Arabidopsis thaliana: one gene and its partner. The protein of the gene in region 1 interacts with the protein of each later gene in a pairwise test. Each region holds a gene or a part of one and is shown on either strand. Other genes may lie near its edges. The genes, in order: AGL79 and bHLH104.

Evidence for each region.
Region 2: the proteins of AGL79 (region 1) and bHLH104 interact in a two-hybrid assay, tested with the Arabidopsis thaliana proteins (one large-scale study listed by BioGRID).

What each region holds. Positions count from the first base shown.
Region 1 is NC_003074.8:11,896,377-11,914,238, forward strand, and holds AGL79 (AGAMOUS-like 79), read left to right. Parts: upstream 1-12,493; 5' UTR 12,494-12,742; coding exon 12,743-12,927; intron 12,928-14,636; coding exon 14,637-14,715; intron 14,716-14,822; coding exon 14,823-14,887; intron 14,888-14,987; coding exon 14,988-15,087; intron 15,088-15,264; coding exon 15,265-15,306; intron 15,307-15,872; coding exon 15,873-15,914; intron 15,915-16,113; coding exon 16,114-16,244; intron 16,245-16,398; coding exon 16,399-16,504; 3' UTR 16,505-16,790; downstream 16,791-17,862.
Region 2 is NC_003075.7:8,290,895-8,306,856, forward strand, and holds bHLH104 (basic helix-loop-helix (bHLH) DNA-binding superfamily protein), read left to right. Parts: upstream 1-8,502; 5' UTR 8,503-9,182; coding exon 9,183-9,238; exon of another isoform or gene 9,239-9,523; coding exon of another isoform or gene 9,524-9,561; coding exon 9,562-9,870; intron 9,871-9,954; coding exon 9,955-10,035; intron 10,036-10,116; coding exon 10,117-10,279; intron 10,280-10,366; coding exon 10,367-10,609; 3' UTR 10,610-10,773; downstream 10,774-15,962. Other genes in the region: AT4G14390 (Ankyrin repeat family protein), read left to right, coding at 1-465, 548-1,189; ACD6 (ankyrin repeat family protein), read left to right, coding at 3,774-3,849, 5,319-6,068, 6,197-6,729, 6,813-7,466; AT4G14420 (HR-like lesion-inducing protein-like protein), read right to left, coding at 11,277-11,381, 11,474-11,572, 11,660-11,749, 11,847-11,961, 12,777-12,844; IBR10 (indole-3-butyric acid response 10), read right to left, coding at 14,016-14,738.

The DNA of each region.
Region 1 (17,862 bases):
ACATGCTTTAACTTCTAATACCACATTTATAATAATCATCTTATATATATATATATATTATATAAACATACACATCGTTAGGTCCAGTCATCCCCGTAGAACCTCATAAGTGGAGGCTGGCCCTCGTGGCTTAAACACTCCCATGCATTCCGGGCTCGTTAGCCGTTCTTGACCAGTTGTTAATCCGTCGGTCCATCACTGTCCACATCACTAGGGAGACCACGGCCCATAGCTCGATTCTCCCCAGTCTTTCATACAAACATACATAATCATCATATATACATACTTATACTTAACATTCTCATACATAATATATCATAGTCAGACATCATCACCATAAATATCAATCAATAATCATCAAATCATATCATCACATAATCTTATCCTACGCAATCAGATCTAAGCCTACATATCATGCGTCAAGAAGCATAACAAAAGACAATGATAATATGTTTCGCAAATCCCACCCTCACCTTAGTCTAGTTGAAGATGAAGAACATCTCTATTCTCCTTTCTCTCCTTTTAGACCAACTTAGTATAAGAGCTTTAACTGCATACTCTTGAGCTCCACCTTGCTTCTCCATCAACCAAAACCTTACTCCATGAGTCCTAAAGGCTTCTGCAAAGCTTCAGCTCCAACCGAACCCGTTTCCCATTCAAACAATAAAAACTTGTCATGGTTTACTCCATACAAAACTGTCTCAGTAACATACTCATAAGTCGAGAAATAACCGTTAGAAACGTAATCCCACCGTTAAATATGTAGCCAATAGTATCATGAATAAGTACACGAAGTTTCATCCCGATCGGACCTCACATGAATCTCCCACGTTCTTCTGAAGATGCTGCATCAGAACTGATATCTAAATTTCTGCAACTTGAGATGATTCTGGGCAAACTTCTAAGGTCAATTCCGGATGGAGCTCCGATGGACAATATGTCAGCTACTATGAGTTCCTTGAATCAAGATCTTTCCATAGAAATCTTAATCGTGATCTAATTCCTTCTGGTCCACCGGGAAAACGCATCATAAAACCAGTAGTCACACATTGTTCTTGATTTATACTTAAAATAGATTTGGACAACTTCTGCAGTTACTTGCCCAGAAAGAAATACTCATATCTTCTCGAATATAATACCGATTGAAACTCTGTCAGTTGGTATGGCTTCATGGCAACGTGATATGTTTAGAGATGTCTTATTTAACAACTGATTCTCTATGGTGCAACGGGAATGATCCTTACAAAACCCTATCTTGGAACTGTTCTTCCTCCTTCCTCTTTTCCTTCTTCTTTGATGCTATTGCTCTGTGCAAAGCTCCAATCTGCTCATATCATCCTCCTCTAAGCTTTACTCACAATCATAATCCAACTTGTGCTCTCCTAACACTTGACCGTGATGATCTCTTCTCCTCCGTGACGACTCCTTGGCCTCCATCTCCGTGATCTTCTTCTTCCTCTTACCTCCTCTTTCTTTATCACTCTCGCTCTTTTTCCATGATTACGATATGATCTTCTCCTCTCTTGTGGCTGTGCCCAACTCATCTTCTCCTTTACAGATGATCGATCACCATAACGTCAAACAACATGTCATCTCACCAACTCTGCAACGATGGCTCACAAACTCGTCACCAATGACCGACAAAGCTTTTGTTATGTTATTGTTGCTGCTTTTAGGGTTTCAGTTCAGGCTTCACTTTGACGGCTCTTCCAAGAAGGAGATATATACATATGTATATATATGCTCACAACATAAAAACACAACAACCCTTAACATTTTATTCTTGGGTTCAATTAGGCTTTAATGGGCTTTATCATTATTTCGAAAACAATTAGGCCCTATAATGTGGGAGTGGGGTGTTACATTACGCGTGGGTTTATTTGATATATTTTGGTGAAAATTATATTTGAGTGATTGTTATTAAATATTATCTTATCTTACTTTTTTAATTTCTATTAAAGAATTTTTTCTTTTCAAATACGCAATTTTAAAATTATAAAAATAATAGTGCTTGAGAATCAAATTTGATTAAAAGAATCACGAATCAATCTTGTTATTAATCTTATCGAGAACCAATTTTTCTTTATACTAGTTTTTGTCATCTAACTCATTATGTCTGTAGGAACGAAGTGAAAAATTCAGGAAACTGAGGAAGGGTCAAATTCCTCACACAACAAGTCGAAAAGGAATGACTCGATTAGCTGATGAGATGATATGTATTTATATATTGATTTGTATTAATTTTGATAGTTGTATTTATATATTGATTTGTAAAGTGTTGAGGTACTTTCTTATGATTAATCATCAGTTTTACATGAGTATTTATACATCCACCATTACTTTAGAAACTAGAAACTTTTATATTTTTTATTTTACCGATTTGTAGAATTTCTCTTTCTTGTTGTAGAAAGTTTCTTGACTTTAGTTTTATTTTTCCTCATCTTTTAATAGGTTTTTCCTTATCGTTTAAACTAAAGCTAAGATTAACATATTTTCAGGTTTTTGAATTTTTCTATAAAACATCTTTGAATGATTTCAATATATGATTTGACATTTAATTGTTTTAGGAACTTAACATATATTCGATTGTTTAAAATAAGAAACCTGGTTTTTATTTTCCTTTTTTTTTAATTTTAAAATATAAAGTAATTACTATTTTCAAAAATGTTAATTAATTAGATGTTAATTATGTTAATTATTGATGTGCCAGCTCTCGATTGGTCGCTCTAAATCCCACGTGGACGCCTTTAGAAGTAAATAGCTTCAACTTTTATATAGTATAGATTTAGATAGAATAAGCAAATTAAACAATCATTACCTTATCTTTTATAACTCTCAACCTAATTCCCACCCCTAATTTCAATGAATAAGATTTCACTAAGAACACAAAAAAAGAGCGAGCGCACGGAAAAGGCAAATACCCCTAATCATCTAAATTTTACATTGTTTCCAAGTGATTTTTAACTTGATAAAAATAAAATCACCAAGAACATGTCACAAGATATGCAATTCAATGTATAAAATTCATTAAAGATTAAAATGAACTCAAACATAAACGCATGGTCAAAGGATATTACTTGCATCAAGTTCACTAAACACACTTAGTAACAATGAGATAGTCAACATACTTCTCATCATCCATATATAAAATCTTTGACGGACACCTTACGTATCATGTTCTTCTCTTTTATTTGAATCAAATCAGATCAGAATTCTTGAATTAACACATCTGCATTTTTGGTTTTTCAAGCTTTGCATTCACCTTCTCTCACCTTGTTCTTCTTCTTCTTACCCTAATTTCAAAATCCATAAATATCCACCAAAATTGGCGGATGTAAAGTCTCCCGAAAAACTTTATCTTTTATTCATTCATGTGGTTAGAGTTTAGCGGATATGTTTGGATGATCAGTAGTTATAAATATTGGAATAGTATTTTTGTTCAAGTACCTTTTAATATCCATTTATTGATAAACAAATGTTAAATCACAAATGAATAATATGTAATATAATTATTTACTTCAAATATATCAACAATGGATATTAAAATGTAAAAAAAATTATCTTAATTTATTACATACAAATATAGACAATAAATGTTATTTTAAGTAGCGGAAAAAAATGAGAATGAGAGAAAGAAAAATGAGGTGGAAAGAGAAAAAAAAATGAAAAAAAAGATGTGAATTTGTTTGTCAACGTTTTCCTTTAAACATAATGATATGTCTATAATTTGCATGTTTTGTGTGTTCATTCATCATCGTTTTGAGTCTAGTTTCATATCTTTCATCACTATTTTATATCATTTCTCATCATTCTTGCATACTTTGCATGATTAGGATAGCTTTGCATACATATTGTATTTTTGAGTTGTTTTCAGGTGATTTGGGCTGTTGGCGAGGAAATTGGAAGAAGCGAGCCAGAACCAGAAGACATACTCGACCCCCAGGTCGAGTACATCCAACACCATACTCGACCCCCTGGTCGAGTGACATTGGAGCCATTCTTCCAATCTACTCGACCCCGTGGTCGAGTAACCATAGCTCAGGCCACTCGATGACACCACTCGACCCCATGGTCGAGTATCACTACACCACACCACTTGACCATCACTCGGCCATTCACTCTACCACATCACTCAACCCCCTGGTCGAGTATCATCACTCAACACCAACACCATCACTCGACCAAACACTCGATCACATCTTCAAAGTCTACTCAAATTCGCACTTAACAAGACAAGCTGAGCACAAGGACGAGAAGAGGAGAAGAAGAAGTGTTTGGAAGCGGTCTGGAGCTTCATCCGATCACGAAGCCCATCTCGGCCCATTATCACTCTATGGGCCGGTCGATTAGGTTCCCGGCCCATCAACTATCATTTTATTTTGTTTTGTATAAATAGGTGTCTGAGGGTTTTGTCCTAAGACATCCAGTCGACATTGAGTTTTTGCTTCAGTTTTATTTTCTGATTTACTCTGGCTGCGCCGCTTTGCTTCTGTAACCTGTAATTCGATATTTTTCCAAGTTATTCAGATTCAGCATTTGATTTCATCTGTCATCTTGTTTCTCTACTCTTTATCTCTTTACTTATGCAATATTATCATTTACCTGCGTTTATGTCTTTGAGCATGTTGTTTGAGTAGTGACATAGAGTTCTTAAGGATGGGATAGAATGGTTGTGGAATCCTTAGTCTGTAGAATGGTTAAGTTTTAGAATTGATTGAAATCCCTTCAGGACTAGTTGTGTTTACTGCTTATTTCTTTCTGATCAACTGGAATTCGATCCAAAGCATTCCCGCACCCAGAAGGTATTCGATGGAATGCTTGATCCACTAGTTCTTGAGATATGCATCTCTATCCCAAGGGATTGGCCGTTTAGAGCGTGTATTGACTTTATTAGTCGGTTCTTATTGCCTGTATAGTTAGATTCCGTTAATGGGAATTAGTCTAGGCTTGCTTTGCTTGAAGATTTCTATCACGGGAGTGAATAGATCTGTTGTTGAACCTTTTGTCTAGAGATAGCTTGATTGCGCTTGTTAACCATCCGAATAGGCTAGGATACCACTCCATTTGATTACCCCATCCTTAGGAATTTCTCGTCTAACTGATTTCTCAGTTTTATCGCTATCGCTTAATCGTTCTCATTGCATGTTTTTTAGTTTTTGCAATTACTCGACCAACTTACTCGACCACACCTAGTGTCTGGCAACAGACTGTGCAGTCGAGTACAGTTGTCTCATTTCCTGTCTGTTACTCGACTAGCATACTCGACCACACCGAAGGGCTGGCAACAGACTGTGCAGTCGAGTATAGCTGTTTCATTTCCTACCTGTTACTCGATCACATCCTGCTTCTGTCATCAACCAGTTGTGGTCGAGTGATTTTAGTAATTCTGTTAAAATTTTTGTTTTCTGCATGTTTGCTTATGACTGTTAGAAACCTCAAAACCGTTATTGCTTGGCTTGACTTAGTGACTTCTGATCACATCTCATCTGTTTGCATCACACCTTATTGGATTGACACCTAAAATACTACAACGACAAGATAGTGTTTTAGGATAATTGACTAAAAACATACTATCACAAAATATCTTGTTGAAGGATATTTTGTTATTGATTTGAATTGAACCGTTAAAAAAAATTATAAAAAAAAATATAAAATGTGTCTCTTTTGATATGAAACTAGAAAAAAGTGTGCCATTATGTATCTCACCCTATAAATAGAGGCAAGTTCTTTATATCTTTTGCTTCCTGCTTTAGAAAAATGAAAAAGCTGCTTAAACAATACCTTGTGGAACTTGTGGATCTGTATCTATTGGGCGTCTACGGTATTTACCTTATTACCTAATTCCAGTTTTAGGTGTCTCTATCTTGATGTTTCTCTTAACGCTTTGTATTTATCTTCTACTACCCATAATATTTTACAGATATCTTATTGAAGTTATCGTCGATGATGGTTGCCAACTTTTCATATTTATTATTTTTGATGAAGCACGAAAAATATTGTTGAAAGCCACTGCATCTAACTTGGCTTCTAGAAATGTAAGACTATTAAATTACCATAACTATATCTTATTTTTCATACTCCAACCTTTTGTTTTTAAATAGAATGTAGGTGAAAACGACCCCTATGGAGAGATTGTACCCTAGGAGATCCACAATATAATTAGAAGAGATTTCATTTTCTACATCAAAGTATCATGCACTGCTAAACACCAAAGTTTCTCCGTCTCTAAAATGGTGACACATTCCCCCTGGTCACCAAAAGGGTATGTCACAATCCCTATATTCATATATATTTATCTACTTCTGAACTTTATTTTCTACCACTTACAGTCATAATATTTTTGTAAATACCAAATTGTTACCGATCAATTACCAGTTTTCCATGTGTACTAACGACCCAACAATTCCGTTCAGCCGTTTGGCCGGAATTTGGTCGGAAAGTCACCAAAAAATATTATGTCAAAAAAGTTCCAACAATCTTAACTGTTTTCAAGTATATTATCACCAATTGTGGTTTCAAAGCTCTCTCCCTAGGTTAATTGAACAAAAAAAAACGTAGAACAACGCAAAACAAAACTTATATACGTCACAAGTATGTTATCAGATGAAACACTTTCCACGAATAGATCTTCTTCACTTAAGGACACGAAATAGATGGGTATTTTAGGTTTCATTCCAAAAATGTTGAAGAAGTATCGGATAGTGCAATTACAAGATACAAGGACTTCTGTAAAGAAAAGTCTGCGTGGCAACCAAATGAAATAAGCAAGGATACCAAGGGAGGACCAACCGGACAGAATAATTTACACTGATCTCAAGAAGAGCTCGATCTCCTCCTACCAATATTTTAGAATATTCATGGGATATTACCGACTCGATCGATGCCGATTCATCTCTATCTCATTTAAGCCGACCTAAAGATTCTAATATAATGACTTAATGAGAGCCTCGCCCAGGCCAGAAGTTCAACACACCTCTTGCATCTCCCTTTTCTTCTTATAAAAGTTAATCTCACATACGAGAGAGCAATAAGCCTTTAGAATTGCACTAGGTACTTTTTATGCTTTTTCATTTGGTTCTTCTATACACTCTTCTTAATCATGTTAACTCAATTATTCATTCACTTATTCAATTCTTATTCATCACTATGACCCATGGTTCGAAGGAGTTCTAATGAACTGAATTATGATTACTATGATTTTCTATATTTTTTTCTCTCTTTTTTTAAAGATTACTAGGATTTGGCTTTTCAATAAGCAAATTACTGCATGAACTAAACTGATCACTTGGTACATCAAAATTGGTAACAGGTTTCCTAAGTACAACGTATCCCAGTAGGGCTCATTACACAAAAAACATGTACTTCCCCTTTCACGTATTGGGCAGCAAGCTCCATTAGGTTTAGGCTTAAAAACTAGAGCTTTGGGGGAATTTTAACATGTGGGCTTAAGCCTAATGAGATAGGGTTTGGGTTCGGTCGTCTCAAGATGGAATAATATTGTCTTGTCTCACTTGTTGTTTTAGTGGAAAACTTGGTGTTGTCATACTATAAAGAAGAAAAAGACATCCAAGCAGATTGAAACTCCAATGACACTCACTACCCTTAGATCAATAATTAATGATTTTTATTAGATGAAGTGCTTCTATGCCATTTATCAATACGAACGAATAAACTAAACATAATCTGCTAAAGGTTCTATCCAAGAAACTAAGTATCGACCCACAATTGGTATGCACTTGCATTGATTTTTTTCTGCCAGGAATTTTCACTTTGAATGATGGTTGTTTTCCATTAATATTTACTCTTGAGACCATTTATATTTAAAAGTCTATAATACCAAAACAGGGATGCCAAATATGGTATATATATAATACTTTTTCTTGCTACACAAATAAGGTTTTCCAAAACTTCGAAAATAATCAAGGGTTTCAACACTGGGAAAACTCTAGTGTTCCAAAACTGTAAATTCTGCGTTAAATTTTTGAAACAATCATAGATTTTAATAAGAAGAATATATAAGATTGGTTTCTTAACTTATACCCGTAGTCGTTATTCGATCCAGAGGTTGATGCATTGGTTTATGTTTTATATAAACCACTGTTAGTTTGCCAATGGTTTCAATAGTTTCTTTTTGTTGTCGTCCTACCCCACTTAGATATAATAACCAAAAGAGGATGCAATTTATAATTATTGTGATGGATGCTCAAAAGGAAAAAAAGTTGAAAAAGGGTTGATGGTGCAAATTGGAGCATGCAAGAATGGTGCCCAATTATATGCATAGCATCTTCCCTAATCCTCAACTATGTATTTTTCAATTGAGTATACGAATATTTTATGCTTTAATGTTTTAATTAATATTATATTGTTTTTTTTAAAAAATATATGTTATTAAAGAAGTTCTCAAATCACATTTGTTTGGGAAGTCTGTCAGTTGGGCTTTTGCCTAATTGGTTTACCTGATAGTCAGAAATGCAGGCGGCCTGACTACCCCCTGGCATTAGTCGGAAAGCATTTCAAACTCCGGACAGACAGTGTGGTGGTCCTTCAGGGAGAAGTCCACTCTAAAGTACTTCGGTGCGTTTCTACCGAAACTGACCGGATCAGTCGATAATGTTTATCAAAAGAAAAAAAAAAAAAAGAAGTTTTGCTTTTGTATGAAAAAATGGAAAAAAAAAAAAGGAAAAAAGAAGTTCTGTTTCTTTGAACTTTTTTTTATCCAATGATCTTAAAATACAATAGTTAACCCATAATAAATTATGCAAATAGCTAGCTCGAGTATATATTTTCGCACATATTTGGCTAGGGTTTACACAAGTTAATCTATATATATATATATATATATATATTTATATACATACTGATAATTGTTGCTATTGGCCAACATTAATAGAGACGGCAGTGCTAATTATTACTTCAAATATATTTGTTGGATCCTTATATCTAAATCGAACCCTTAATTATATCACAAATATTGAGAATAGTAGTAAACATTACATATTTTGTGGTGTGGACGGTTCCTTACCCTTAGAAATAAACAACTTGTATGTATATGTATAGAAATTAGAGAGCGTTGGGAATTAAAAAAAAAAAGGCATGTCCCTAAATCTCATCAAAGGGTCAAGTGCAAACACACAAACTTGTCCTAGGAATTGCGACATCGTGTAAGAGTTCCCCTTTGGCCTACATTTGTGGTACCACATCTACTTGATTCTTCAAATATATATATCTATACCCACTAGATGTTCCCAAGGAGCAAGTCATCCATCATCCTAGTAACCCATGTCTTATAATCCCATTAATGAAAAAAGTGTATATCGTAATTTTCTGATAGATCTTTTTTTACTTTTCTTTGTCTGGCTAAAATTATATTATCTTTTAAATTTTTTCATACAAAAATCTATTATCTTTTTTAATATTTTATAATCGCGACCGCGAAATCGGATGGTCCCCAACCTTTGAAAGCTCAGCGTGAGATTTGAATATTAGGGTTTAGTACAATTTGGAAGCCTAATTTAAGCATAATGGTCCCCATAATCTTCATTATATAAGTTGGTAATAGTACACTAAATATATGAATTTAAAATAAAAACAAAGTGACTAACTATTAATATATGTTAGTGCAGCGGACCACATTTGAATGTGAACCCATGAAAGGTCTATAGCGATCATGTTTTTATTACTAATCTAGTACTAAATCGCATTAACCCAAATTAAGTTACTTTTTAATTTGCATTGGACCACCACTTTAGGAACGTATATACATACAACTAAATGTACATTTTGCATAATACATGTAAACGTATATATATAATCTCATGCATTAGTATACATTATATATACGCCTCTAAATGTACATTTTGCTATCTCAGTTACCAATTCACCACCCTATAGTTTGACCTTCTATGCGAAACTCAATCCTCGTAGATGTCTTATGCCCAAATTTATTTTAACAATGTTAAATAGCGTCTAGATTTATGAAGAAAAAAAAAACTTTTTAATCAACCAAATATCTTTTATCAAACGTAGACAAAAACTCATTTAGAGTAGAGGATGTTGACTCTTTGTTCCTAAGCTCATTTTCTTATGGAAATATATAGTTTTGTCTTTAAAAATTTTATCAAACGTTATTCACGATCAAGAAAAAAATATAGGGTGAAGACAGTAAACATTTTTGTCGTAAATCTCTATATATATATCCTCAGTTTATATATATGATCAAGAATAGCATGTGTTTATTTATACTCATGTTCATTTTTGCCTCAACAATAATTTGTTCTTTCTAAATAAAACTGAAATTAAAGATCAAATTTGTTTGTTTGATTTTTGTTCTTTTTGTTTTGTTGCTAGAGTTAGAGGTAGACCCCTAGCTCATTTTGAATTCTCATGAAGATGCAAATCCATCGGTACCAATCTCGAATCATATTCATAAAATTAGGTCTTCATAAATTATGAAGTTCAAATCAGAAACTCAAGATATCAAATGACATTGGCTGGTTTTCTAACTTATGGATGCTAATTTTTGGCTCTGCAAAACCTCATATGATGCAATGGACGGTCAAGTTTTAAGAAACTAATATGAAATTGGGATTTTGTTTTCTTTTATGAATTAAGGTTCAATTTGAGATATATATGATTGTTATAGTTTGAAGAAGTTGAAAGTTTTTTAATCTGTTTTAAAGAATATCACTTGGAGAGTGGAAGATATTCTTAAACTAACACTAACGTAAGATATAATTTGTTCAATAGAAAAAAGTGGTTATCCAAGCTACACAAACTTTTTAGACTTATTTCTCTCATTCTTCTAGAGATTTTTAATGAAATTTGTATATACTTGAAATGCATATAAAATAAATAAGAAAACAATATCTACTTAATGTCCTGTTCAAGAATTATTAAGAAATTTCACTACGTTGTTAAGTCCATTTTACTCCACCTTCTCCACTGGAGTTAGACTCTACTAAGTCGCGTTATCCTGCAGAGTAAAGATTGACTATGCATTGGACCTTGTCGATGTGAAAATGTTAAAAAGATAATTATTATGAAATCTCTACTATAACATATTTGGTTTCCTCAATTTTAAAATACCTATTTTTTTCTCAGTTTACCATTAACCAATCTATTCCGTGATATTTAATGTTTAAACCCTTCTTCAATTCTATTTAACCTACATTCTAAACAAGGTGTCCTCATTTTCAAAATCCTAAACTCATCTTCATCTATATTTCTATTTTCTGCCAAAATCATACCACAAAAAACATATACGAAAAATGACCACGGAAATTGTCTTTTATTGTTTATTTCCAAAGTCAACCAAGTTGACTGTTCTTTATATAATGATTTTTTTTTAAAAAATTATATATTGAGCTAAGAAAATATTAAGTGTAATTTTCAAAAAGAGAAAATATATTTATTATAAAAATCTATAGTGGTGGATCAAAATTCTGGTTTAAATTATTGTATCAATTTTGAGGTTCAAATTTTAGGATGGAAGAGAAACGTAGAATGCACTTAAAGTTCTGTCGATTTTTGTTAGTACATAATCCCTCATATAACCATACATATACTTATTGCAATAACCATACGTTAAGAATAGGGACCAACTTCATCGGTGCTTCTGTTAGACATTTCAAGAATGATATATCACATTCATGTATCTCCGTATATGTATTAAGACCAATGACTAAACTCAGCCATTGTAGATATAGTTCAGGTAAAACTGTCAATTGTGGATCAGTATGTTGAAAATTGTTAACTATGGTTCGCTTGTAACAGAATATAAATATAATAATAATATATAATACTAATAGTAATATATATAATAATAATAAAAAGCAAGCACTAATTATTTTATAGAAACACTTTAAAAAGTATTAAAATCTCATTTAAAACAACTCTCCAAGTTGGTAGTCCATTGATCTACAAGACAGCTCCACCTGAACCACATCCACAATGTAAAATTTAACCGTACACATAAACCATGATCATAAGATGCAACATGGTAAAATCTCTGGTGAAGTTTTCGTAATCGATGATGAATATATATATATATATATATATATATATATATATATATATATATATATATATATATATATATATACAATATATTTTTATTTTCAATCTATTTAGTAAGTACATATTTGTTATGAAAGTACAAAAATAACATTGTAATAGGTCAAGCTCTTTGTGGTGGTTTACATTGTAATAGGTCAAGCTCTTTATTATTATTTTACTATATGTATCTTCTTATCCATTCTTATATTTTATATCATATATGGTCAAAAGAACCAATCGTATCACAGCAGCATTTGTTAATAGAACTTTGATCTTGGTAATTACAGGTTCTATATTGAAATCGCAGGAGCCAAACCAGCAACTTGGGTTAATTATTAACTTCATTCACCAATAATAATAATTGATCGTCAAGACTATTTCGGACACAAAGACATAAATACTTGTTTTCTGCTCTCCCTTTCCCTAAATGTATCATTTGATACTTTCTCTTTTTCCCTCCATATGCCTTTTGTGTGTATAAATATATGTATATGAATAAGTTCACAAAAATAGAAAATTAAATCAAATCTTCGCGTAATTTCTCATCAAACTCCACTTTTCTTCTTTTTAAGAGAATCTAGGGTTTCTTCTACTACTTCTTCTTTCTTCTTTAGGTGGTCAAATTTCCAAGTTCTTCTTTTAGCTCTCTCTTTTGTTTCCAAGAAACCTGAGAAGAATTTTTGTAGATATGGGAAGAGGAAGGGTTCAGCTACGGCGGATCGAGAATAAGATAAGGAGACAAGTGACATTTTCAAAGCGAAGGACCGGTTTGGTAAAGAAAGCTCAAGAGATCTCAGTGTTATGTGATGCTGAAGTTGCTTTGATTGTTTTCTCCCCCAAAGGCAAACTCTTTGAGTACTCTGCTGGTTCCAGGTTTGAATCTTTCCTAAGCTAATTAATTTACCAACTTATTTTAAGATCGCATATTTATCTACATAAATATTAGCCTATATTTCATGTTTGACATATTGGGAAAAGTGGTATATATAGGTTTCACATAGAGGAGATTGATTTGAAATTGGCTGAGATTGTTTAATTAATTAAATCAGTTTATAGCCAATTTTGTTTAGTTCTTCCATCTCTAACTTAGAGAAGATCATAAAAAATGAATGATTGTACAATACTATATATTAAATCAAAAGAAGTGATTAATAGAGATGATCGCATCAAAAAATAATTGTGAGACATAACAGTTCCACAGATTATATATTATCCAAAAAATATGATGGAAGAATGTGCTAATTGGGCAAACATGATTACGAAATAATATACGTATTAATATAATTTGATTCTTGAGGACATATGTATATATGTTGAACATATCATGAATAAAGAGAGATCTTTCATTTCATTGTTGTGTAAGTTTGTTCTTCAACGTTCTGGAGATAATTAAAACATGATCTACATAAGTTTAAAGAGATATTTAATACAAAGTGTACAAAAAAACTTTAGAATTAACACCTGCAGGCTTAGGATCAAACAAGTAGATCTAATGCTCAAAGTTAGCTTACTTTGGCACTCATAGGAGACTTCATTTTATTTATTTCAAGGAAAAATATAATAAATTCAAGGAAAACGAATTTTAAAAAGGGTTCTTGAATCAAAATAATTTTAATGTTCTTCTTTTGGAATAAATCTGCTATTTACATTTTACTTAAAAATAAAATTGAATGTTGACTAAAATAAAAATAAAATGTTGACTATAATACAAAATAATTTTGGTGGTTTTAACTAACTGAACATATTCTGGTAATAACAAAACATTATTTATCAGAGAATTTAATATAAAAGAAATGAACTGTAAATAATAGCAATTTAATTTTTGAAAAATAAATCCAATTTTAAGATGACGATTTTTTTTTTTTTAGTAATTGTCAAAACAGAACAGTAAAATACTAGGAGACATAATTTGTGATGACACCGTCTAAATTATCTCCAAGGTTCATGTAATATCTAATGCGGTATCATTGGATCAAAATGAACGACACACCAAAAGAAAAACAATTATCTCAATATACACAAACATACTAAAGAGGGACAAGAAATCTACTATAAATAGAAGAGTCAGCTTTCGATCATGATTGTAGTAACTAATAATAGTAAACATGAAACTTTGATTTGATTATGTTAAAATAAAAATTTAAGATATACAGCTAAAATCTTGTTGGAAATTGGAAGCATGACAAGCCTTTGTATAGAGCTTTGTGCATTGCTTTGTCTTTTGGTTGGCGGAACCTAGGACTAACCTCGATCGTCACATGAAAATATACAAACCCATGAAGCTACTTTTCTAGCTTGTAGGCTTAACTAGAATGTTCAAAAATGAATTTGCTTGCAAACATATTTTAACAAAATTTGAGTAGACTTGGTGTATCGATTGCTATAGTCTAATCAATACATTCAATTAATGTATCAAATTGTTTGCAAATGTAGATTAAAGTTCTCGATATAGAGCTTAAATTAATTTAGAAATGTTTCAACTAAAGTACAAAAATGATTATTCAATATCTTCAATGTATTTGTTGAGTGATGATAGTATATACATCGAGTGTTGATTGTTGTTTGATATACTATTTTTTTAGCATGGAGAGAATTCTTGATCGATATGAGAGGTCTGCCTACGCCGGTCAAGATATTCCTACACCAAATTTGGATTCACAGGTTCTTAAGCACATTTAAGACATATGAGTATATATATATGAATCATTGTTTATGGTATGTTTATGGTAAACTTAACTATCGTGTATCGATCTTTTTATCATTTGTAGGGAGAGTGCTCAACAGAATGTTCAAAGCTCTTGAGGATGATTGATGTCCTGCAAAGAAGCCTGAGGTAAGGACTTATTACTTACGTATCATCCAAACATAAAATACATACCTAAGATATCTAAATATGTACAAGATAAGAAATTGCATCTTTATCAAATTATAAGGCACTTAAGAGGAGAAGAGGTGGATGGTCTAAGTATCAGAGACCTTCAAGGTGTGGAGATGCAACTTGATACTGCCCTCAAGAAAACTCGCTCTAGAAAGGTTATTTATATGTATACAAAAACATTGTAGTATATTTTCTATACATGCATGGATCATTTGTATATACAAATGTGTATATCTAATAATGTGCAGTTTGTGTATGCATAAATATACACAGATATATAGATAAACTACACCTAATCATGTAGTAATTATTGTTTTGGTTTGGGAGCACAGAACCAGCTCATGGTAGAGTCCATAGCACAGCTTCAGAAAAAGGTAATACACTAATTAAGAGACTATCGTTGTTATGGTTGTGCCTAGGCCTGGACGTTTGAGTTTACGGGTCCGGTTTTAGTTTGGTTCTATTTTTTGGTTTTTGAGTTTAGGATCCATTCAAGTAATTGTTTTGGATATTGTTTCCACCTAACTTTTGGTATTTCGAGTATTTTTGGTTATTCGGTCTAAAAATAACTAATTATTTTAGGTGTATAAAATGTATTTCGATTCGCTGAATATTTCAGTCTGGTTCCCGTTCTTTCAGTTATGAAGTTATAATCCATTCGGATATTTACGAATTTTGGTTCGTTTTTCTATTAAGTTCCTCTCGGTTTGGTTAGAGTTTGGTTATTTTGCCTAGGACTACTTTTGCCATGCAAACTCATGTATCTGCCTGTCTTTTTTTTCTTTTCGGGTTTGTACAAAACATTATACTTATAGTAGATCTTCACAATTAGTAGTCTTTGATTTTGAGAAATAAACACAAATACATATACTAGATCTTGAATACTTGACTCGATATGAGTTAAACTAATAAATATGTGTCTTTTCTTTTGATGGCATAGGAGAAGGAACTAAAAGAACTGAAGAAACAGCTAACAAAGAAGGTGAAAGTGATGTTAGAATCTTTGACTATATATATAACCAGTTTCTTATAAAATGTAGAATTCACTTAACTTTTAAGAGAGATTAGTCTAGGCGCTAGTTTGAACTCTCTCAATCAAGTGTCGATTTTAAATTTATATTTGAATGTTAAGCAATCGGTGACTGGTAAATAGTAACTATAACAAGTATTGAATTTGGCAGGCTGGTGAAAGGGAAGACTTTCAAACGCAAAACCTCAGCCATGACTTAGCCTCCTTGGCAACACCGCCATTTGAATCACCCCATGAGCTTCGCCGGACAATATCTCCTCCTCCTCCTCCTTTATCTTCGGGGTACTTTAAAGTTTGATTTCACATAGCTACAAAGATAGTAAAAATATAAATGATAATTTGTTAGTGTTGATCAATGATAGTAAGGTAACATATTATAGTTTGTATCAATATTTATTTATCGTGTATATGAGATGAATTAATAAACTGCTTATAGGGATACATCACAAAGGGATGGAGTTGGAGAAGTAGCTGCCGGAACCCTAATTCGAAGGACGAATGCAACGTTGCCTCATTGGATGCCCCAGCTCACCGGAGAATAGAGGTCCGAAACAATCTTGGTTTTTTAATTTTCTGTACTTAATATATAGTACCGGAATAACTTCTTGAGTTAAGTAGAACCAATCCGAATAAAAGAAAATATCTTCTGGCTTGGCATTCTAGGAACAGGCTTAAGAGGCCCTCAAGTTTCAAACTTTGAACGAATTTAGAAACATTGTATGTCTAATGTGATTTTGTATATTGTATCTACGATTTTCACTTTACTGTTTGTGAAAAATGTAATTTCAGTGTAATGAAAAAGAAGAAAAGAACTATAAACTATATTTTTTATGACATATTAATTTCTATAGAAGGTAGGAGAAAACGTTTAATCTATTTTAGAAGCGTTTTGTAAACAGATTTTGCTAAAACAAAATACTTGACAATGTTTGGTAATTTTCTAAAAGTAATTACGATATTTTTTTCAAATAGTCTTGACTATTAAATATGCCATTCAAGAGTCGTCCTCACACTAAGCCGTGTGAACCAATTTACGACTCTGCCTCGCCACGCGATTCCTCCACGCCTTAGCATCGCCGGAGAAAGAAATATTGATTCTCTGCATTGAATTTCATTTTTTCCGGGAGATAGAAACATTTGTCATATGAAAAAGTGTGACTTAAAAACTATAGATTAAAGTATTTCATATACATAAGACGATGTCTTGGTTTAATTTAGACCTTTATGTTGCCATTTGTCCATTGTTATCTTTTATTTATCGATATATTATAGTTTGTCTTGAATAAATCAAACTTCGATATATTTCATTTTGTGTTTTTCCATTTGTCTAATTTATTTTTCTTTTATATATAAAAACTTTTCTTTTGGCCATGTAGCAAATATTGTTTTTTTGTTTATAGTGAATCTCATCACAATAAATAGCCATTTGTGAAAAGAAATCATATCTTCGTCTATGGTTTAAAATTTAAATGATAAACTTCAACAAATGGCCTTGATGTTGTAACTTTTGATACAATGTAATCTAATCAAAATAAATAGGCATTATGAAAAGAAGTCACCTTGTTTTGTCTTTGCTTCGCAATTTGAATACTGTAGATTATTTCTTGGTGATTCAATTAATTATTAATGATTCATCAATCTTCTTATTACAATATGGACTTTACTTCAAAGAAGATCATGACACGCGTTAACTTTTAAACAAGCATTATGTTGAATTTCGGTTGATATATATTAGGTTTTGATTTAATATATTGTTCAAACTACATACGAATATTTAACAAAAGAAAATGTCAAAAGAGTAACACACTATGTATATTCTCTAAATCTACTAAAGAAAAAGGCTTTTTCCCAAAAACAAAATAGAAAGAAAGTAAAAGACTCTTTCCCAAAAGCAAGTGAT
Region 2 (15,962 bases), on another chromosome or scaffold:
ACTTGTCTTTCACTCGCAGCACATATAGGGTATTATGAAGGAGTATGCAACCTCTTAGAACGATCAACAAAGGGTGTTTATGTCTGCGACCAAGATGGTTCTTTTCCAATTCATACAGCTGCAGAGAAAGGTCATGAAAATATTGTTGAAGAGTTTATAAAACGATGTCCAGGTTCAAAACACTTACTTAACAAACTTGGTCAGAACGTTCTCCACATTGCAGCAAAAAATGGGAAATTTTGGATTTCGAACATGTTGATAATTAATAAAGATACGGAACATCTGGGTGTTGGGCAAGATGTGGACGGGAATACACCTTTGCATCTTGCCGTCATGAACTGGCACTTTAAATCCATTACTTGGCTTGCTAGGAGTAGCAAGATACTGAAAGTGCGGAACAAAAACGGCTTAAGAGCTAGGGATATTGCCGAGAGAGAGGTGAAACCCCACTACATCTTTCAGGAGGTATGTATAATTTCGTTTCATACAACAAAATTTGATATCACATAAATGATTTATAGCTCGACCCCCATTTTTTGAGTTACAGAGGTGGACACTGGCGCTCTTATTATACGCTATTCACTCAAGGGGTTTCGAATCTGTACACTCATTAACAAAACCGTCAGTGCCACTAGACCCTAAAAATAACAGAGATTACGTCAACACTCTTCTCCTGGTAGCTGCTCTTGTAGCCACAATGACGTTTGCTGCAGGTTTTACAATACCAGGTGGGTTTAACAGCTCTGCTCCACACTTGGGCAGGGCAACTTTGGCCACTAATCCAACTCTCTTCATTTTTCTGGTACTTGACATCTTGGCCATGCAAAGTTCCGTTGCAACAATAGGTATTCTTATTTGGGCGCAGTTAGGTGATCCAGTGCTCATTCGCTCATCCTTACATGTGGCTTTGCCCTTACTGCTTTTTGCTTTACTCTGCATGCCCTTGGCATTCCTTTTTGGCGTGGTCACTGCAGTTGGGCATGTGAAATGGCTTGTAGTCATCATTTGCATTATATCTGTTTTATTCTTTTCTTGGGCGATCTTTGTCCTTGGCCCTCACGTCATGCTACAACGGTCATACGTTTCTCCCAAGTACGCTGGTGACTTTCTCGTGACTTTTATGCAGTATAAAGACATAATTGGGCTTTTTGTGTCTTTGATAAAGTTTCTTTTTTGTGGTTGTTATTAAGAGTTTGTAGCCTATTCAAAGGCATTCTTCGTATGAAAAAATCATCAAAAGTTTATTGATGAAAGGAGATTTTTGTTCTCTTTCAAAATAAAAATAAAAAGCTAGATATGATGGTCTCTCTGAGAAGCGGTATCTTGGTAGCTTTAACTGATAGCTCAACTCACTCAATCCGTAGTCATCGAACACCGACTTCACAAGCTTGTCGTGCGTTATTTCCGTATCTATTTGCACAACTCTACACCATTTATCGACGGTGTTAAATACAAATTCTTTACCCAATCGTATCGAGAGAAGGATGAAAGAAGAATGAGGAAGACGGTGATGAATTGGAAATTCCGATGATGTGAAAAACTCATGTGAAGAAGACGAGTTGAAAAAAAAAACGTTTCGTATTTCCTTTGATGATGATGACATGGACTGTTGCATCCGACATCATTTTTTTAATTGATGAAGTGACAAGTAAGCCACCAAACAAACATGAAAATTTGCCTAAATAAATCAGCCAAATAAAGTTATATGTTAGTCGCAACATGAATACTATTACAGTAATTAAAAACGAAAAAACGGCAAGTTACTTCAGCCGTTTAGCAAACAAAATAAAACACACACACATGATTCGATTGCTAACCAACACAAGAAACAAAACAAACACATCTTTGCCTATAAGATAATGTGTATAAACCATACAACTAGTGATGTGACGGAGGACAATGAGAAGACTATTTCATTATGCTGAACCGTCCTTGACGTCTTAGCAGTTAGCACTGTAAAATGGGTTCATATCATAGTAAACGAATCACTCTACACAACAATTACATGCTAAAAACTAAGAAGCTAAGTTACCAAATTCTCTATAGAAATAGCAATCACTTACAATAACCAATGCTACATAACAACTTTTGAGTCCATAACTGATAAATTGATAGAAACTGTTTGAATTTGCAAACCCAAAACCGTTTCTTAGGATGGAGAAATGGGTTTGTATTTTTCTATTTCCGATCAAGGAAAAATATATCAGGCAACAACTGCGGAAGATAGGGCATTTTGGGATGAAGGAGGAAACCATAGTTAACAAGCGGAAACAATTTCAAAGGTTGATTTCAAAGATCATAAAGTCAAAGTCAAATCCCCATAGAGAGACTCGGTTACGGAAGTGTTGGTATCCGAATATCCGATAGTCATAGCCTCAGAACTTATGTTAGAATCAATAGGTTTAACCATGCAGTGTGCACTTTGGAAATCAAGCCAAGAAAAGCTATCCACGCAAACAATTTGCGTTAGAGCGAAATCGGATAAAGAGAAAGAAAATATAGGATTTAAAAATCTTATAGCGAGTAAGACTTATTTGAAACATCGTCAAATTTACTTCTTTTGGTGTATATTTCTCATTATATGGCGTATATATCTGTTTATGTAAGAAATTGTTTCCAAAAATTACTGTATACTGACTTTGTAATCTTGTTTTGATATCAATGAATTTATAAGGAAAAAAATAAAATAAAAATATAAAGTATGATGTACATGTAAAAAAAGTTGTTTCAAGCGTAATTGTTTTTTGGCTAGAGAATGAATATACAGCAACAGTAAACTAATAAACTTGCGATGAACTAAAATTTCTGGTATTCCTACAATCAATGAATCACTAATTTATCTATAAGTTTTAGCTATATCCGCTTAAACCCCGCCTCAACTTGCTCTCTGGTCTGGGTATAGTTGGGCTACAACAGTGAAACCGTAATTAGGAAAGAAATGATAAAAACCCAATCCAGAAGCTTACTGCAAGATAAAGAGAAAGATCATGAAGAGGTAGGAGTGATTCATATAACAAACAGGGTCACGTTGTCACTTTCTCCCAGAAAAATACAAATTTAGACTAACTATATAAGGAGACGACTTCAGAGTCTTCTAATGGGTTAGTATAACTCGGGTCATCTTTTAATCTCTGGCTTTAAAGACATGGTAAGATTCCATATATATGAAAACTCTGTGTGTGGTGGATTGCTTTTTTCATTTAAGGCAAAGATAGGTTTTAAGGCAGAAGACAAGAACGACCTTTGGCTTATTTATAGGAGACCACCACTTTCACTTGAGTCGAGACAGTAACGACATTTAGAATTTGCATTACTCATCTTGTCACTTTCTCCCAGGAAAAAAAAATACAAATTTAGACCAACTATATTAGGAGACGACTTCAAAGTCTTCTAATGAGTTAGTAACTGGGGTCATCTTTTAATCGCCGGCTTTCAAGACATGTACAATTTCATATGAAAACTCTGTGTGTGGTGGATTGCATCCAAGACAGTTTTAAGACAGAAGATAAGAACGGCCTTTGCTTATTTATAGGAGACCACCACTCCTCTCGATAACCATGACTCGAGACATTAACGACTTTTAAAACTAAGGGACGAACCTTAAGCAAAAGCTCTTGCATTACTCAAATTCTTCTGCCACTTGGTAAGTCTTTTTCTCTGCCCCTTCTGCATGCAATGGTTGACTTTTTTGTTTGTGGACGTGGTAGTAACTAGTAAACTTAAATCTGTGTTTTCACTTTTCAAACCATTTGTGTGATTATTTTAGGTTTGCGATGGACAGTTCTGGAGCAGATCTAGATAGAATTGAGGCACAAAGGTCAATGTTAGTTTCTCATGATCAACGGAAAGGTACATGAGTCATAGGGTGGCCACAAATTTTGAATATTCATTACATGTGCTTTATTAACGAGTATAGTGACCCTATATAAATTATTATTGACACCTATGCAAAACCAACCAATCTACATAAAAAAGATAAGGAAAAACTATTCTACTTGATTCTTGTTATAAACTAGGATATAACACTAGGATATAACTAGCAATATACCACATAACAATTATATTGTTTTATAAAAATTTAATAAAATTAGTCTTATTCAACATGTCTTTTATTAACAAAATAATTAATAAAAATATAACCCATATGAATTACCGGTTAATAATATTTTAACTTTTTATTAATATCGATTCAAACCTGTTTCACCATATAACATGTCTCACAATATAACTTGTCCTATATTATTTTAAATTGTTTATATGTTTAAATATATTTATAATATTTTAAACTTTTTAATTGAATTTGGATTTATTAATTATAATATTATAACTTAAAAAATTTACTATATCAGGTAAACTTAAACATTTCAACTATAAAAAAAACCGTATAGAAACTTTGTAAATTTGGATATTTACTAAGTTAAATTTCATGTTCATTAAGATTCGAATTCATTTTTTATCTTATTTTTTTTATGGCTCTGAACGATTGTCTAAATATTTTAGCTGATGTTGGATGTTGAACTCAATTTATTTTCTATTAATTGAGTAATATATGTTCGTTTTAAACAATTGGAATCACAAGAATACAGACAAATTAAACTTTTTATGTCTTATATGATGATTCAAAATAATTAAAAAATAAATCTTAATGATAGGAGAATCATTCTTTTAAATTTTATGATTTTTTTATTTTATAATTGATGTTAAAATCTTTTAATTGTAAAGTTGTTTGGTTATAACTTATAAGTAATGACATTCTTTGTAAATACTAACTGAAAACAAAGTTACTCTCTAAAATGTAATTCAAAAATATTAATATAGATAGTTAAGAACTAATAAATGTCACTATCCAAGATTTATATAATTTAGTAAAAAATCTACATAATTTTTTTTTAACAAAACGCGCAAGTGTTTATGTTCTTTTCTCTTATGAGTCTTCAACTTGACAAATCTCGATTAGTTAAAATTTAGATTAATTTTGAATTGACTATTAGATAAAGATATTTATGATTTCATTAACTTATTATATTCTGATATTTACAAATTTATATTTTAGATTTTTCATAAGTTAATTGATTTCATAGTTAGAACTCACAAATTTTGTCTCATGAAATGTAAGACGAGTGGTTAATTCGATTGATGAAATAAAACAGTAGAAATATTTTGGCAAAAAGAAAACAATCGTAAGTGATACAAAATAGTTAGAAGTGATAAAAATTAGCGATAAGAGAGCTGTAAAACTTTCGATATATCTACATAAGATACTAACTACTATACTAGTAAATAACTATTTTGACCCTGGTAACAAATTGTTTTACCAGATTTCTCTCACAGCGGAGGAGTTGGCACCACGTCACCTACGGGCGACACCGAACCTGTGCCAAAGTTCCGTACTAACCTTAAATTGTCGGATCTTTTCGCTCTCCCTGGTGAAGATGTCGAGATGACTCCGGAGATTTTTGGTGGAATGAGTAATGGGGAAAAAGAATGTCTGGAGAAGTTGAGAAGCAATGGAACGCCAATGGAACGTGTCAAGAGCAATACAGGAGATTCAATTCTTCATATTGCTGCTAAATGGGGTCATCTGGAACTAGTGAAGGAGATTATCTTTGAATGTCCATGCCTTCTATTCGAGCAAAACTCAAGCCGTCAGACACCGCTACATGTGGCTACTCATGGCGGTCATACCAAAGTTGTTGAGGCTCTTGTTGCATCGGTAACATCTGCTTTAGCTAGTCTGAGTACTGAAGAGAGTGAGGGACTGAATCCACATGTTCTTAAGGACGAAGATGGAAATACTGCTCTGTACTACGCCATTGAAGGACGCTATTTGGAGATGGCTACCTGTCTGGTGAACGCGGACAAGGATGCTCCTTTTCTTGGAAATAACAAGGGAATATCTTCCTTGTACGAAGCCGTAGACGCTGGAAATAAATTTGAAGACCTTGTGAAAGCAATTTTGAAAACCACAGACGACAACGTGGACCGTGAAGTGAGGAAGTTTAACTTAGATTCGAAATTACAAGGGAACAAACATCTTGCACATGTTGCTTTGAAGGCCAAAAGTATAGGTTTGTTTTTTGTTTTCTTTAATAATCAGTAACAGCTACGTTTAATCTGTTAAAATTATGTAAAACCAGCTTGGGACGAGAATCTCCTCCCCAAGATGGCTAATTGTTGTTCCCAATTGTTTGAGTAGGTGTCCTTGATGTTATTCTTGATGAATATCCAAGTCTTATGGACGAGCAAGATGAAGATGGTAGGACTTGTCTTTCATACGGAGCATCCATTGGGTATTATAAAGGACTATGCAACATCTTAAACCGATCAACAAAGGGTGTTTATGTCTGCGACCAAGATGGTTCTTTTCCAATTCATTCGGCTGCAAAAAACGAACATTACGAAATTATTAAAGAGTTTATAAAACGTTGTCCAGCTTCAAAATACCTTCTTAACAGACTTGGTCAGAACATTCTCCACGTGGCGGCAAAAAATGAGGCCTCTCTTACTGCATATATGTTGATGCATGATAAAGATACGAAACATCTGGGTGTTGGGCAAGATGTGGACGGGAATACACCTTTGCACCTTGCCGTCATGAACTGGGACTTTGACTCCATTACTTGTCTTGCTAGCCGTAACCACGAGATACTGAAATTACGAAACAAAAGCGGCTTAAGAGCTAGGGATATTGCCGAGTCAGAGGTGAAACCCAACTACATCTTTCATGAGGTATTTCTGATTCCGTTTCATACAACACATTTGATCCCTCATAAATGATTTATAGCTTGACCTCCATATTTTTGGAATTACAGAGGTGGACACTGGCGCTCTTATTATACGCTATTCACTCAAGTGGTTTCGAATCTGTTAAGTCATTAACAATACAGTCAGTGCCACTAGACCCTAAGAAAAACAGACATTACGTCAACGCTCTTCTCGTGGTAGCGGCTCTTGTAGCCACAGTGACGTTTGCTGCAGGCTTTACAATACCAGGTGGTTATATCAGCGATAGCAAAAAACCAAACTTGGGCAGGGCAACTTTGGCCACTAACCCAACTCTCTTCATTTTTCTGCTTTTTGACATCTTGGCAATGCAAAGTTCTGTTGCAACAATATGTACTCTTATTTGGGCGCAGTTGGGTGATCTAGCACTCATCCTCAAATCCTTACATGTGGCCTTGCCCTTACTACTTTTTTCATTACTATGCATGCCCGTAGCATTCCTTTTTGGCGTGATCACTGCAATTGCCCATGTGAAATGGCTTTTAGTCACCATTAGCATTATATCTGGTGGATTCTTCCTTTTCGCAATCTTTATCCTTGGCCCTCACGTCATGCTACAGCGCTCACACCTTCCGCCCAGTTCTGGTATATTTCTCAAGACTTTTATGCTGACTATAGACATATCTGAGTTGTTTGTGATTTTGATCAAAGCTTGTTTTGGTTGTGTGGCGTGTTCCGAATAAATCATCAAAAGTTTATAGATCAAAGGATATTTTTCTTCTCTTTTTTTTTTCTTTCAAAAAGCTACGAGATATGCTGGTCTCTAGCTCTGAGAAGCGGCATCTTGATCATACAACTCATTCGAAGTCCTATCAGAATTATCTGTAGTTGTAATAAAGCGTGAAAAGTATATCATTCGAAGAGATTTTCCTCTAAAATAATCGAGTGATATTTTATTATTCGGTTTAGTGGATACCAGTTTACTAATCTCTCGAATTTATGAACCACATTCAAAGGAGATGAGTTTAACAAAAAAAAAAGGTAAATTGTTTTTTATTCTCGTCGTGCGTTCCACATGAGTCGTTTTCAAGAGCAATATAGACGATACTTCACAAGAATTATTATTTTTGTTGGGGTATAAAAATTTGAAGATACGTTTGGCAACGACAATACGACGTTAGATTGTTCCAAGAGGTGCAAAAACTTAGGGACCCTCTTTATTCGTTCACTGTAACCACTGACCACAACATGACTAGGTAGACTCTTCTTTTTGTCAATGTTGATGTTTATACGATTTTGATGAGACTGGCTCTATCAAGATATGAATCTCTGATCATATCTCCACTAATCTTTCATCTTGTTATTCCCTCATTTACTTTTGATTTCCTTCTCTCTCTCTCTTTTTTATGTATACAAATTTTTCTTTATTTCGCTTCACTAAACCCCACCATGTAATTGTGTGAGTTTTGGCGAAGTGGCGCAACACCGTAGAGCACACCAACACTAACCCAATCCATTTTATGACCGTAAATTTTGTTGTTGATTAGTGTATTTTTTTCTTGTTTAGTTATTCTGAGAAGTAAATTTTTTTTTTACAATTAGTTTTTAAACATAGTAAAATAAATTTATGACAGATTATAATATTATTTTAAAAATCAATAATATCTAACAAATTAAATAAACAAATCACAAATTACTATATTTTAAATAAATATTGATAATTTTAATTATATTATTTTGTTTATTGGTTAACTCGCAGGATATGCGAGTTAATTCATTTGAGATTGTAATCCGCCATATACTAACTCGATAACCCTGACTTTTTAGAAATCTAAAAGTATAACCCTATAATAAAATAGATTATGTCCAACTCGCGGATTCTAAACCTGAATTGACATGGCGGAACCATTCATAAAACCATACCAATTCTTGCGTTTTGGAAAGTTGGTTTCCTTTTCATTTCTTTGAATTTGATCCTAGATTGTGTAGTTCTCAAGCTCATGCTCTTGCTCGTCAAAAACGTATCAACGATTTGCTTTTCCTTTAGACGTTCTTGCATCGGATTGGTTTACTCAACTCCACTCGATGAAAAAGTTACTATCTTAAAAAGAACAAATGCAAATTCAATAAAATTCCCCAATATCTACGCATGAAAATATGATTCTGTCTTTTTTTTGTTTGTCTATCTTTCAATACTTTAAAAAGTGTATTTCTAGAGGCGATTTGTCATTTCCCGAATAGGAATTTGAGTAAAAAAAAACACTCTGTTTTTTATTTCCACTAATATCAAATCGGCGAATATAGTTCCCACCATTCTTATCTCCTTGTCGTCACTCGGAATTTTTTAAATAATAGGATCGCTTTAATAATATAATCTCTATAATTTATAGTTCCTTTTCCAATATTGGCGTCTCCGTTGAAGCTTTCCACAAATCTCAAATTTGTTTGGAGACTCTCAAATGTATCCTTCTCTCGACGATGATTTCGTCTCTGATTTGTTTTGCTTCGATCAAAGGTTCGTCCTTTCGCACTCTTCTCTTCCTTCACCTTCCTCTGTTTTCTCTATCTCTTTCGATTCAGTTGTTTTATCGAATTTGATCCCTTTTTTCAATTGCAAAATCATATCTTTAATGTTCAATTCGATTTCTGTGAAAAGTGTTGTTGTTTTTTTCGCATTTCAGGGGGAAAGGTTGTGTCTTTTGATGATAATTTGACGAACCCTAATGTATCTGAAAGCTGTTAAATTGAATAGGAGAAGAAGTAGCTTTATGGATGTTGTTGTTTATATTTACTCCTATTGATGGATGTGAATCTTTTTGGTCATGATGACTCTTGTAGCAATGGAGCAGAACTTGATGATTACACACAGTTTGGTGTAAATTTGCAGACTGATCAAGAGGATACCTTTCCAGATTTTGTGTCATATGGTGTGAATTTGCAGCAGGAGCCAGATGAAGTCTTTAGTATTGGAGCTTCTCAATTGGATTTGTCCTCGTATAATGGAGTTTTGTCGCTAGAGCCAGAACAGGTGGGGCAACAAGATTGTGAAGTTGTGCAGGAAGAAGAAGTAGAGATCAATTCTGGTTCATCTGGTGGAGCTGTTAAGGAAGAACAGGAACATTTAGATGACGATTGCTCCAGAAAGCGGTGAGTTTTGAAAAAATATAAACTTTTTGTGATTTGGTGGTAGTTGGTTGTGTTTTTAATTGAATCTGTGATGGTTGTTGATAGGGCAAGGACTGGATCGTGTAGCAGAGGAGGAGGAACTAAAGCGTGTCGTGAAAGGTTGAGGAGGGAGAAGCTAAATGAGAGGTATGTTTAGAGCTTAGTCTATGTTTTTGTTTTGTGAAGTGAGTTGTCTCAAGGGGAAAAAAATTGTTGTTGTTCTGTTAGGTTTATGGATTTGAGCTCGGTTTTGGAGCCTGGGAGGACTCCTAAGACTGATAAACCGGCTATACTCGATGATGCAATCCGTATATTGAATCAACTTAGAGATGAAGCTCTTAAGCTTGAAGAAACTAACCAGAAGCTTTTAGAGGAGATCAAGAGTCTCAAGGTTGGTTGTTCATTCACTTTCACCTAAACCAAGAATCTTGTTCAATGGGATGTGAACAGATTTCTAAGTTTGTATGTTTCTTTATAGGCGGAGAAGAACGAGCTGAGGGAGGAAAAGCTGGTGTTGAAGGCGGATAAAGAGAAGACAGAACAACAGTTAAAGTCTATGACGGCTCCATCTTCAGGGTTCATACCTCATATTCCAGCTGCATTTAACCACAACAAAATGGCTGTTTATCCAAGTTACGGTTACATGCCAATGTGGCATTATATGCCTCAATCCGTTCGTGACACATCTCGTGATCAAGAACTCAGGCCTCCTGCTGCTTAAACTCTCAATTGTTTTTTTTTGGTACCCATAGGGAACTCATAGAGATTTCTGAATCACTTGGTTTAGGATTCTTCCGTTTGGCAAGTGTAAAAGCTTTACTCTTGATCTTGGGTTGTATTTTTCTTATAAAATAAATATAACTCCAGAAACTTGTGATTCTTCTCTGATCTATGAGTTCGAAAAGTTCAGTTATCAAAAACTTTAGCTCAGACCAAAAATGTTGCTCTCGTTGAGAGTTGAACTCAAGACCTCCCGCTTACTAAACGGGTGCTCTAACCAACTGAGCTACGAGAGCTTCTTGCTGTTGTATTCTTCGCTATATGAATAATTATTTTTACCATTCACTGAGTAGCAACAAATTAGCCAATTAGGACCAAAGTGACAATGAATTTACAAAGGTTGAGCTGATGGCTATTCCGTAGGTTAATAAATCAGTCGCGTTGTGAAATAAGTTGGAACAATAACATTGAAGTGGTGTCTCTAAGAAACAATAATCCATAAATATTTCTACAAAAAAGTGTCATAAAAGCTTCTTGAAGTAAGCAAAATGATTTGCAGAGATTTTGCCTTTCAATGGCCTCATCAGATAGACTCTTTAAACCCATCCTGGATTCCAAAATGAAAATAAAATACAGACCGAATAAAACCGATGAAAGATATGGCTTCTTCAGTTTGCTTTTGCCTTTGGAGCCTTTTTCCTGAGTTGCCTACCGTGTTTCCTTGAGTTTTTCATTCCAATGAAGAAGAGCAGTCCTCCAAGAAGAGCCAAGCTCTGAAAAGTTAACACAGAATAGAAAAAGATCTCAGGTCTATGTCAACAGTTGTTTAAACTTTCATTAAACAACCAATATGACATTAGCTAACCTGTGTAAATTTTGAAAATAGTTGGCCGAATTCCTTTCTGTCAACATCGTAGTTGTAGAAATCATACAGAATTGGGGTGGCAACGGCTTGATGCAGAAGCTGAAACCAGATTTCATAGAGTTAAACAGGGTTGTTTTCGTCATTCTGATAAGCGACAATATATTCGAAGGAACAGTTGGTGCATACCAAGAGATAAGCTCCCAATGAGCTGCCAAAGACAAACAATAGTCCCCCAATACCCTTCAAGGCTATAGCAGCAGCAACAAGAATCTTCATCTGCAAACCAAAGCAAAGTGAATAAAACAGGAAAACAAAAAAAAAAACGATTTGGTTACTGTGTTTGGACAAAGAATGGACATGAAGAAGCACATACATCGACTGGTGGCAATTGCTGGCCAGTGTGAGTTGTCACATGGTTTACAAAGGCATTGAATTTTGGTTTCAAAGATTTAGCTGATCGGCCACCATCTTCACCAAAATCATTGAACCTGAACAATGAAGTCATTAAAAATATTGGAACTTTCAATCAGTGAGGGAAAGAACAAAAGTGAGGTAAACTGTCTCTGTAGAGACTCAAATAGCAATGCTTTTCAACTAAACCAAGCAGACAGTCAAGGGGAACAAAGAAAGTTTTCTTCAATCAACGTATAAAGATACTACATTTGTAACGTCAGAAGAATTGTGTAACTTAAAACAAGAAATTAGAAGAGAAACTCCTTATACAGGCATTCAATATATGAGTTCATTGGTTGAGTCAAATTGATTCACAACAACCATAACAAAGCACCTAGTAAGATTTTCTTGGTTTCAAGACTTTAGAATCATGTGCTTAAATAACCAACCACCAACTACCAACTACCAACGAGACCAACTCAACAAGAAACTTCGCAACTTCAGGACAACCCACTTAATGAGTAATAAAAGAAAGAACTTAAAAAAAACAAAGTGCTAAAATTAGAGAATGATGTAATAACAGAAGAAAACATAGCAATGTTCGACAGTTATTGACCAATCAGAAACAAAATCTAACCAGAGATATCTTATCTATCAAATTCAACCCCAGCAAAGCAAGCAAGATCCATACTTTTCCTTCACTGTCCAACATTCTATTTCTCTTTCTCCTCCAAGAACTCACTCACTCAGCTATAATCGAGCTAAAACCTAAATCCATGATTCATAATTTGTGCACTTCTCTAAGACAACAGAGACAAAGAGCCCCCAGATTTTGAATTTTCTCAGATATAAAGAAAAAGCAGATCCTACTTACAGATCTAAACCGAGTAAAGAAGAGGAAATTGCTTACTCTTGCCATGCGGAGAGAAGAAATACGGAAACAAACAGAGCTCTACCAAGGAAAGAAGCTAACTCCATTGAAGCTCTCTCTTTGCCTTTTTTTTTTTTTTCTTCTCCGAATCAAACGCAGATACCAGAAAGAGAGAGAGAAGCGTCAGATTTGGGTCTTTAAATCAACAGACAGGAGGAGAAAGAAAACGAAGAGGCTGATTTTGAAATATTTAGAAATTTTTGGGGTCAAAAAGGTGAGATTTTTATTTCGTCGACCTACTCGCGCGAGTACAATGATGTTGGTTTTTGTACTCGCTACTTCGTTGGGAAGTAAACGCCACGTAGGATGCTTTACACGTTGCCTGGCCAATGACGTTCGTCCGAGTCATTTCAAGTATTTAAGCCGGCAACCAATAAAACGCGACTCATTATTACTAACATTTTAAATCAAAACTAACCTCAAATCAAATACCAAACTATTTTATCACCCTTTGGTATTTATTTAGAAAATCAATATAAATTTGATATTTTAAATAAATAAAATTAGTTTTATTTTAGGATAAAACTGAAAAAATTTATATATGAAATCGTGTATATGAATCTGGGCAACTTTTAAATAGTTGAGATTTTGTTTGGGAATTTTTCTATTTAGATTCATTCTGTTTTATGATAATGGTAATATAAAGAGGTTAAATTTTAAAAAGCAACAATTTTACTTAAATTTATTTCATATAATATAATTTAATACAATTTTGCATAAAGTTTTAAAAAGAATTTATACTGTGAAAAAGGGGTCACAACTAAAATTATCATTTTTTGGTGAGTTTTTCTTGTCGTCTTGTATGCTAATGCTGGTTTAATTATTACATGTCTGGGAGTGTGTAAATTATCTTTTAGGAACATAAAAGACCAAGATTGATAGATGCGTTTTCGAACGAAAAACAGTTTGTGTTTTAATACCGGTTTAACATGGCGTAATTTCAGCAATCACAAATTCACAACACCGTTTCTCCTTCTCCGATAACTACTACAACCCGGTTATCTCTAGTTCATCTAATTAGCTCTAAAACCGATTAAACCGGTTCCATATTTTAAACAACCAAGCCTAAGAACAAGCCCAACAACAACACTGAACAAGCCAACATTGAACATGTTTATTATTTCTGTGATCACAGTTCTAGAGTTTAACATTGTCTCTTTCTCCCAAAACATGTGTTTTTCAAATAAACCAAAGATTCACTCTCTGAAAGACGCTTTCTTAGAGCTTAGGTGTTGCAAACACTCTAGTCTCTAAACCAAGAATCCCACAAAGCTCCGGATACAAACTCTTCCTTATCGACGCATAAACCTCACCGCTCCATTTCTTCGCCGCCAATTTCTCACCAAGGCGCACACTAGCCACAACAACACCTTCCTCACTATCATACGCGGCCGAGTCAACAATCCCCAAACCCACCGCTTCTTCTCCTCTAATCTTCTTCCCACTCAACAACAGCTCTCTCCTCGCCGCACTCGTCCCGATCTTAGCCCTAACCAACGCCGAGAAATAATCCGGCATCGAAAGCCCGATGTCAACTTCACTCATATACAGAACCCCACGATCTTTCCTCATGAACACGTAATCATGGCTCAAAGCCAAAATCAATCCCGCGGCGGCGGCGTGGCCGTTCAAGGCGGCGATCGTCGGCATAGGGAGATCGAGAAGCGCTGCTACCACCGGTTTGAATGATTCAACCATTTGGTGAAGCCGGTTTGCGGCTCCGGTTTTGGATCCGGCGGTTTGAGCCCATGCAAGATCGAATCCGTTGGAGAAGAATTTGCCGTTGGCGGTGGTGATGAGGATGGATCCACGGGTGGATTGAGATTTGGCTTGTTCGAGAAGGGAGAGAATGGTGGCAATTGTGTCGGGGTGGAATCTGTGTTCGCCGTCTCCGGTTAGGGTTAGGAGGAAGAGATCGCCGCGTTTCTCTAACGTACACATGGTGGTGATCGGAGGAAGAAGAAGATTTCTGGATGATAATGAAAACTTGAAATGTGTGAGAAATCGTGTTGTTGTTGAATTGTGCAAATATAGAGAGAAATATACCTTATCCTGATTGGTCTATGTTTCCATTTTGGTTCAATCTGTTGTAAAGGCCCATGGGCCGGCGTGTACGAGATCTCTTTTTTTGGTCAAACATAATTTCATTTGGATTTAATACCAAATATAATTTAGACCTTGAATGGTACTAATATCTAACATGTTTTTAGTTTTTGATTTTTCTGAAAAAAAAATTTAATTTTTCAATCAAGATTATGAAAATAAATATTTTCTCTACAAAAAGAGCATCTAGTTTTTTTAAAAGGGTTTTCGCAAATTTCTAGAGAAAATTCAAAATCTCTTTAAAAAGTTTTATCCTCACTAATGTCAATGAGAAATGATATAAACCATCTTTTCCTTTCTCATAGGATTCTTCTTCTTTCCTTTTTTCTTTAAAGAAATCTATAATTTTAGTTACACATGTTTTTTTTAATACAATTTATCTTTATAATCGTTTTTTTATATATTTTATTATCGGATGACTCAGTAAGTCTCGGTAAAAACATACCGAAATGCTACCGAATATACTACTTTCGATCTAAATAGAATTGTACCGTCACACTATCTGATCTTCATAGTCGTTTCCTCGTCCGCCTTGGATGTCCACTCACATCTCGTTGGAATTAACGACAGAAGAAGAAAAAGCATAGCTCAAGTGTAACAAGAAAATATGTGTTTATTGTTTGGTTTTTCCATCTTCGTTACTGACTTATTGTATTGGTTTTACATTCAAAAAAAAAAAAAAAAATGGTTATTTTTGTGTAACACTTCCTCTCTCTATATACAATGTTGTCTTTTGGATTAATTCCCCACACCATATAAGGTTTCTCGTGGGTTGTCTAATTCGGTTGAGTTTGGTTGATCAGACTGCACCCGTTTCTCATTCTATCTTATGGCGATATATACGATTATGGTCATATGACGTAATTTGGATATTATAAATAGATGCATGATGTGACATATATTGCTGATGCTAGTACGATTATCAAGTATGAATTACAAATATTCTAGCTAATATAACTTATCAATAGTTGTATTGATATGGTTATTAATATTGTTAAAATTTCAACTAAATGAAAAATAAAAAGACGTAGGTTAGATTAATTATGTTTTATTGGTGAGAAA